2 linked regions of the Arabidopsis thaliana genome follow. The protein of the gene in region 1 purifies or fractionates together with the protein of each later gene. This does not show direct contact. Each region holds a gene or a part of one and is shown on either strand. Other genes may lie near its edges.

What was found.
Region 2: the proteins of NF-YC5 (region 1) and PIL6 purify together in Arabidopsis thaliana (affinity purification with western blotting, with the first as the bait; one study listed by BioGRID). This does not show direct contact.

What each region holds. Positions count from the first base shown.
Region 1 is NC_003076.8:20,559,934-20,563,368, forward strand, and holds NF-YC5 (nuclear factor Y, subunit C5), read right to left. Parts: upstream 1,296-3,435; 5' UTR 1,238-1,295; coding exon 677-1,237; 3' UTR 501-676; downstream 1-500. Other genes in the region: AT5G50500 (uncharacterized protein), read right to left, coding at 2,217-2,624. UniProt on the Arabidopsis thaliana protein: Stimulates the transcription of various genes by recognizing and binding to a CCAAT motif in promoters.
Region 2 is NC_003074.8:21,827,266-21,832,657, reverse strand, and holds PIL6 (phytochrome interacting factor 3-like 6), read left to right. Parts: upstream 1-1,820; 5' UTR 1,821-2,476; exon of another isoform or gene 2,477-2,755; 5' UTR 2,756-2,762; coding exon 2,763-2,833; intron 2,834-2,954; coding exon 2,955-3,681; intron 3,682-3,762; coding exon 3,763-3,828; intron 3,829-3,921; coding exon 3,922-4,272; intron 4,273-4,349; coding exon 4,350-4,469; 3' UTR 4,470-4,753; downstream 4,754-5,392. Other genes in the region: AT3G59070 (Cytochrome b561/ferric reductase transmembrane with DOMON related domain-containing protein), read left to right, coding at 100-294. UniProt on the Arabidopsis thaliana protein: Transcription factor acting negatively in the phytochrome B signaling pathway to promote the shade-avoidance response. Regulates PHYB abundance at the post-transcriptional level, possibly via the ubiquitin-proteasome pathway.

The sequences.
Region 1 (3,435 bases):
GAGAAATATATAGAAATGATAATTAGAAAAAACAAAAACAAAAATAATTCAATTAATAACTTCCTCATAAGAGTTCGCTAAAACCGCGCTAAAATTTCTTGAAAGACAAAATTCAAATAAATCGTTTGTGCGCCAAATTCCGTTGGAAAACAAAGAATAAGAACGAAAAATGAGTTGGAAAATTTTTAAAATAGATTCAGGTTTCAAAATAAGTTTTTTTTGCTAGATCTCTGGATCTTGTTGCCTCTAGAATGTAATCTAACAAAAAGCTGCAAACACAAAAGAGTCTTGACAAGTAAAAGTGATTAAAAAAAAAAGAAATAGCCGAATAAACATCCTTGTTTACAGTACCCTATCTCTTATGAAATAGATTATAATATATGATTCTTTTCTACTCTCATAAGGAATCACTAGAAGATTATGTTTCCATGGGTAAACTGAGGACTTTTTTATCCGTAATCCTTGTGTTTTTGTATGCATAAATTAATCTAAAGCCAATATTCATAAACCATTAGATTCATTTGAAAGACAACAACAGAAATACATTCTTTTTTTTTTTTGGACAAAACAACAGAAATACATTCAACAACTAAAAAACATAACATTGAAAACATAAGCAGAACTCAAAAAGAAATTCAAGTTCTCACAACAGCGGTTACAAAACCCAATCCAAATATTAATTCCCACCGTTTCCTCCATTTGCCCCAGTCGCATCCTCCTCGGTCCAAGCTCCAGGCATCTGCGGGTGTGGCGCGTGTATTCCTAAACCGTAACAAACCGGAGTTCCTATCACCGTTCCCGGCGGCAGTTCTTCATTGTTAAGATCTGGCACAGCCACATGATCAGCAACATCGTCCACAGGATCAGCAGCGGCGACAACGGGCTCTCCCTCGTCCTTAGGGACATCATCACGCAAGAAATCAAAGATGACGGTTTGAGACACTACGGCATCAACATCAGATTTCCGTATCGTGAGTCGGTTGCTCTCTTGAGCATGGAGCCATGAACGCATCGTGAGGTCCATGACAAACATTTCACAAGCCTTAGATAAGAGATTTGGAGCCTCAGCAGCGATCATACTCACATCCGGATCAAACTTCATTATCCTCTTGATACGAGAGATGGGGAACTCGTGATTCTTGACATTCAAGTCACCTTCCATCCCCTTTGACCAGAAACTCTTTAGTTGCTCGTTATCTTTCGGTGGCTGTTGGTGGTTGTTGTTGTTGTTCTCCATTTTTTTTTTGTTTGAAGTGTTTGGGTTTGAGATATTTTTATGTGGAGGTTTGCATATATAAAGGAAAATTAAGCGTATATAAGATATGGTAGGATAAGATTAAGAAGTGATCTCTTTACATATATGAATCTCAACCTATTTAGTAGTTTGTTAAGAATATTTAATGTTATTAACTGTATGTGTGTGACTGACAGACTTGTGGTTGGTATTATAAGAAGAAAAAAGAAAGAGATTTGTTTTTACTTAAAGTGTATATTATATACCAAATAATAGTCTTATAAAAATGAAACAAAAAAAAAAATACCTTTTTCTCTATAAAATTGAAAGTTAAAATTTTGCTGTACAAAACTTAGTTTTGAATATCTTGTTAAAAATGATGTTTTCAAATGTTAAATGTGAAAGCATAATTTGCTCAAAATTTTAAGAGAATTTTAATAAGAATTTGCTCATGATGTTAAATTGAATTTTACTTAATTTACATTGGTTCAAATTAATGTATGAAACGATATATAACAATAATATATGAATGTACAAAGTACAAATCCTGTAGTCCCTCTAAAAGTTAAATTTTGGTTATTTCTCTAATTATTTGATTTGTTAACATGAGGAGGTAGACACTCAAGAGAGAATCTCACATTTTGATGTTTAACTGCAAAATAAAAGAGAGATCATTAATAAATATGTTAGTAAATTTTGTCAAACAAAATATTAAATTTAAATAAAAAGTGACCAGTTTGGAGTTGGATTGTTCCAAAAAGTGAACAGTTTGGAGTTAAACAAGAGTAGCCGTTTTATTTTGGCGCCTCCTTCTTCAAGATATTACTGCATTACTCCTCCATAACCACATTATCAGTTTCATCACTCCTCAGTAGCACCAAAACTCTTGTGTGGAGAAGAGGAAACACACCTTTCAATACTCAGTTTGATTATACTCGTAGCCTTTCGAACCAATGCACTTCAAAGCCTATTTGGCGAAATCTCAAGTCTTATCACATCTATAGACTTGAGATTTTCCCAAATAGGCTTTGAAGTGCATTGGTTCGAAAACATAAATGGTGGAAAGAGATAGATGGTTTTTGCACAAAGTTCGATAAATATCAATCTTGAAATTCAAAAACCAAAGATATCGTTTCCCCTTAAGATCAGATCTCGAAGTCTTAGATAAGGAATCCATAAAACTTGTTAAAAGAGTACTACTCCTAAACAAACAACTCATGCAGGAAGCTTTGCGCGGGTGTTGGAACTTGTTTTTGATGAAGTGGTTGTGGCCACTTTTCCGGTGAAGACGTTCATCGGAATGACCGGTTTTTCGGCACAATAGAATCATTGTTGCAAGCACTACGCGGACCGTGGTGGTGCATTGGAATGTCAAAAATGAAGTTATCATTTGAATGAGAAATGAAGGTCCAAAATAGCTGCCTTGGTATATAATATACAGTAAGTAAGAGGAGAAATCCAAACATACATGGGTTGGGTTTGAGATTTGAGAGTTGGGAAATGGGCTTACAACCAATAAAAAATATCTACCTTAATGATAGAGTTTTGTAACAACAACAAAAAATCAGTTATGACAATTAAGGTCAGAAAACGTTTTTGACATTGTTGTGAGAATCAAAATCTCATAAATTTTCGTTAAGGTGAGATCACCTCATGAATATATATACGTTGAGCTTGGGCTATGTAAGTCAAGTCATTGTCTTCTCCTTCTCTTCATAAGATCACAAACATCAAAATTCCTCTCTTCTCTCTTCTTCTTTTGTTTGGGTCTGAGAGTGTAACACAAGACTAGTATTCGTTCGGCTTTTGATTTTGAGTGTTGCCAATGAAAAGAGATAACAATTTTCTCATGCGACTCTAATCGTCATTAAACCCTCGCACTACGAGGAGATGTTTGAGTTATAAAGGAGAGATCATCAAAGCTCTCGACTCTGTTAAGCACCGTCAATCTCCGTTCCTCAATCATCTTTTTGGTATTGTTGAATTTCATTACCTGTTCTATATTAGTTGCTTTAAGTATTAGGTAGTGTCTATGTTAAAATATTCGTCGTACAAAATCTAGTGGTGGGAATTAACAAAAAAAAATAAAAAATCTAGTTGTGGGTTTTATTTTTCTATTTTTGTTCAACCATTATCTATCTTCTAAAATAGTTATGGTCTACTCTCAAAGAACAAGGTTGCGTATAATGTAAACATGGTTT
Region 2 (5,392 bases), on another chromosome or scaffold:
AATAACTTTCGAAATTTCTATTCTACAAGAAGTGAGATTTGAATATCCTTGTATGGACCTTCAGAGCTATAATCATCACAAGGTCGGCGGCGGGAGCAGATCGGAGAGACGGAAAAGGCGGAGAGGAAAAAGGCGAGCGGCGGAATTGAAATTCAGATTGAAAACTATAATATAACGAAGAACTTCATGATCCCCTCAGTTTTTGTTATTTCTTATCCACATACTTCTCCGCCGCTTCTAGCCTTTCATTCCTACCACCATCCGTCTACTTCCATCGCCGCCACCGCCGCCTGAATGTTTCAGAACGGTCTCTTATAGAGTTAGGGTTTTGACGTTTTGTTCGGCCCTTTTCTCTGATAAATTTGTATTTTTCGGACTAAACTGGGCCGTATCTTAGGCCCAATAACGCATCTCCACAACACAGTACAATATCTGTTATATGACATGACTTAAAACTTTTGGGCCTTTTCTGATAAATTCAATTTGCTAATGTCATTCTATTTAATGTGATGTTATCTTCATCCTATGAATATGCATATTCATAAATATTTAATGTATGTATATGGTTCCTTAATCAATGATGATTGATAGATTCGTTCCTTCGTCGAAATCTAATGTATATGCATAGAATTAATTCATATATCGGTTTAGAAGATGATGGAATTAATTATCCAACTAGGCGACGACTTATATGTCGACATGAGTTATAAATTCAAATACAACGACATCATTTGAGTCAAATGCAAACAAAAATTATAAGAAAAATAAAATAGCAATCGAAGGGTTTTGGGGTTTTATGATTTATGGCTGGCATCTGTGTAACCGTGTTCCTCTTTGCTTGATTGGGATAACAACGTTTTACATGTATCGTCCACGACGAACGAATCTATCTATCAACTTAATTCATCCAACTAGCAAATAGCAACTTGCATACAAAATAATTTATCAAAAAAAAAAAAAACTTGCATACGGAAGAAAAAGTGTTATTATTCAGCAATTTTCACTAAACTACTCATATTTAAATTCCATATTTTGCACTAAATTACTATTTCTATGGCTGGAAACAAAAACTGAGTTACTTGGCTCATGGCCTTCTATAGCCTTGAATGGACGCTATTACGACCTCGTCTCTTTCGTGGAAAAAGCAAATGAGGGCCAAAGACTTTTAAAGGGAAATGTCTCCTTTCGGTGGATGCTTTCTTCACAAATGCACCCACTATATATGTCTGTCTGTCTACTTGTAAGTTGCAATGTAATATATTCATGAATTTATCATACTAATAATATGTTTGTTTATCATTAGATCGGTAGGGGTTATGCACATTAAACGATAAGATTGATGTGATAAGGGTTAGAAACTGATCTACTGTTAAATTATTGTGATAAGGATCGGAAATTAATGTGATCATAATTTTGGTGGACCATTGTTTGTCTGTGGTCCATGACAAACAAGTCACAACGGTCCACGGTTTATTACGACATTGTGAATTTGTGATTGCATATTTAGGTTCAAAACTGTTATTAATATCCAAAATTTTGTGTATAATTAATAAATTCCAAATTCACAATCAACTAAAAGTTATATGTATAAACTTGCAGTTGTTTAGAGAATGATAATAACACAAAAACTTACGATGGTAGCTTTAACTAGTCAACACGTGAAATAAATGCGATGTGGAAATTTGCCGGGGGAAAAAATGATGACTTCTCAAGATTATTTCCGCTCGGGTTTTAATGAGACTCTGACATGAAATTGAATTCAGATGATTATAAAACGGTTCATATATTCATATAGTAGATGATGATATAAACTCATCGAAGCATCGTAGAAAATAGAGAACTTCAATTTGTTTTTTGTTTACCATTATTAGAGATACTATTCGCTGAAAGAGAAGCATAAGAGGGGTGTTATGATTTGACAAAAACACCCTTAATCATTGGTCAAGACTCAAAGAGTGTTGCAGATAAGGTACAGATCAGAAACCCACCTCTAGAAATCGAGCAATAGATCTCTCTCAACTTCACAGACAAAATCCAACCGAGTTGGTGGGTCTCACTAACTCTTTAACTAGTTGTCTGACAATTCGCCACGTGTCGGTCATCCTGATCAGTTTCAGTACTATTGCCCCCACCGAATCATTATCTCCCCCTCGCTCACTCGCTTACTTACCGTAATAATCTCTCTGCTTCCCTCCTCTAGCTCTTGTCCCTTTCTGTCTGAACCTGGCAAGAAGAACCTTAGCCTCTCTTTCTTCTTTCTCTCTCTCTCTCTCTGTGTTACTGTTCTGTTTCAACTTTACTCCCTCAGTTTCAGAACAATTCCCTATCTAGAAGAGAGATAAAACCGAGAAGGTTTTGGAGATAGAATCTTTTGTTCTTCTTTTGTCCCTCCTTGCTCGATTTTTGTTACGTGTGAAGCAATAAAAAAAAACTGATATAGCTAAATCTTCCATCCATTCAGAGGCTTCTAAATCTGGTAATTACTTTTATAGCTTCCCCTTAGTAAGAGTTTACTATATATAGAATTAGTTGCTTTATTAAATCATTTCCTCCTAGATTGTTGGAGAGGGTTGTTTGGTTTAATTATTTTCTAATCATTAAACTGTTGGGATTTCGAATAATCTTTTCTAAGTTGATTGCTTTCATCATCCTTTTTCCTCAAATCTCCTGTTAATCATTATACTAATTATGAATCAAATCATTTCTTATTCACTTACAAAAAAGTAATATATTCTTTATTTAAGTGTCTTTACAGATCTGACATGGAACAAGTGTTTGCTGATTGGAATTTTGAAGATAATTTTCACATGTCCACTAATAAAAGATCAATCAGGTATATATCAATTTTCCAATTCAAGTATTTCATAATTATATACCAATTTCACATCTTAATCATAGCTATTTAAGTATTGTTTGTTTAAAATATGTTTGTAAACATTCATATGTTGGGACAGACCAGAAGATGAATTAGTGGAGCTATTGTGGAGAGATGGTCAAGTGGTTTTACAAAGCCAAGCTCGTAGAGAACCGTCAGTCCAAGTCCAAACCCACAAACAAGAAACCCTAAGAAAACCCAACAATATTTTTCTTGACAACCAAGAAACAGTACAAAAGCCTAACTACGCTGCTCTAGATGATCAAGAAACCGTCTCCTGGATACAATACCCTCCGGATGACGTCATCGACCCTTTCGAATCCGAGTTCTCCTCTCATTTCTTCTCTTCGATCGATCACCTCGGAGGTCCTGAGAAGCCACGAACGATCGAAGAGACAGTTAAGCATGAGGCTCAAGCCATGGCTCCTCCTAAGTTTAGATCCTCGGTTATAACAGTCGGACCGAGTCATTGCGGCAGCAACCAGTCAACAAATATTCATCAGGCCACTACACTTCCGGTTTCTATGAGTGATAGAAGCAAGAACGTCGAAGAAAGACTTGACACTTCGTCAGGTGGCTCCTCCGGTTGCAGCTATGGAAGGAACAACAAAGAAACCGTTAGTGGAACAAGTGTAACCATTGACCGTAAAAGAAAACATGTTATGGATGCTGATCAAGAATCTGTGTCTCAATCAGATATAGGTTTGACCTCAACCGATGATCAAACCATGGGTAACAAATCGAGCCAACGGTCAGGATCTACTCGAAGAAGCCGTGCAGCTGAAGTTCATAATCTCTCAGAAAGGGTATACATATACTATTTCTGACTAGTTGATCAACCATTCAGTAATAATAATTCTGATGTGATCTTTGTCTATTAATTACAGAGGAGGAGAGATCGGATCAATGAAAGAATGAAAGCTCTTCAAGAACTCATACCTCACTGCAGCAGAGTAAGTTTTTTCATCACAAAAAAACTGAGTTAATTAAGCTGTAATTGATTGGTGTGTTTAAATATGGTTTTGTCTTCTTCTTTTTTTGTGTAGACAGATAAAGCTTCGATATTGGATGAAGCAATTGATTACTTAAAATCACTTCAAATGCAACTCCAAGTGATGTGGATGGGAAGTGGAATGGCGGCGGCGGCAGCAGCAGCAGCAAGTCCGATGATGTTTCCCGGGGTACAATCATCTCCATACATTAATCAGATGGCTATGCAAAGTCAGATGCAATTGTCTCAATTCCCGGTTATGAACCGGTCCGCTCCGCAGAACCATCCCGGTTTAGTATGTCAAAACCCGGTACAGTTGCAGCTCCAAGCACAGAACCAAATCTTATCGGAGCAGCTCGCTAGGTACATGGGCGGGATTCCCCAGATGCCGCCGGCGGGAAATCAGGTCAGTTGCAGACGGCATCGTTTTGAAGAAAGACAAATATATTTATTTAATATCTGACGTGTCATGTTTTAAATTAGATGCAGACCGTGCAACAACAACCAGCGGACATGTTGGGATTTGGATCTCCGGCGGGACCGCAAAGTCAACTGTCGGCACCGGCGACCACCGACAGTCTTCATATGGGTAAAATAGGCTGACTTGGCATATAGTTTTCCTCCGAAATTATTCTTCTTACAGTTGGTGATTGTTATTTATTTTTGGTCGCCTAAGCAAGCATAAAAGCTAAGTCAAATGTATTATAGAGATCTAATAAGTTAGTCTCATACTTATAACTTATTTTTAAACAGTTGAATTATAGTATCAATCAAGTGTTGGGAACCTAAAGATCATACATGTGTCAATACTTTTATATTTGTTCTCAAGGTTCATCAGAAAAACAAAATAAAAAGGATAGACTAGGCCTGCATTTGACATTATCATGGGCTTTTTTGGGTCTATGAATATGAACATTAACCCATATTACTGCTCAAAACGCATACGTTATACAAAAAACGGAAAACGCTAACGTGGTTTACTCCACCACGATTCGTACGTAACGACTAGCGAGTCCCATACCTACTCGATTTTTAGTTTCCTCAAGTTAACGGTGAAATCAAATTACCGATTATGTCCTTCTAAAGTGACACGTGTCTTACAAGAGGAGCGAGTTTATCCTAATCACATACTCGAGCGTGTAGGTTTCCGATTAAAGCGAAGCAGAAAAAAATTACTAAAATAATAAAAACGTATAGAATGTGATTAATTAAGTCAACCAATAAGCATCTTACAAATCAGCACTCTGAAAACAAACACGATTATTAATAGAAAAAGCTGCGACCCGACTCCTGAGCCTCTCTCTTTCTATCGCTCTTTGATTTTGTTTCTCATTGTTTTGCTTCAAATTACGCATTCGAATCTGATCTTCGTTGATCTCTGTGGAAGAAACAGATAAGAGAAAATCGCATGAATTTTTTTAGAAAACTAGGTTTTAATCCTTCGATTGCAAGCTACTTCACTAATACGAGTCTTCTGATCTCAATTCTTAGTTTTTCTCCTCAATTGCCGATTTCTCTCTTTCTTT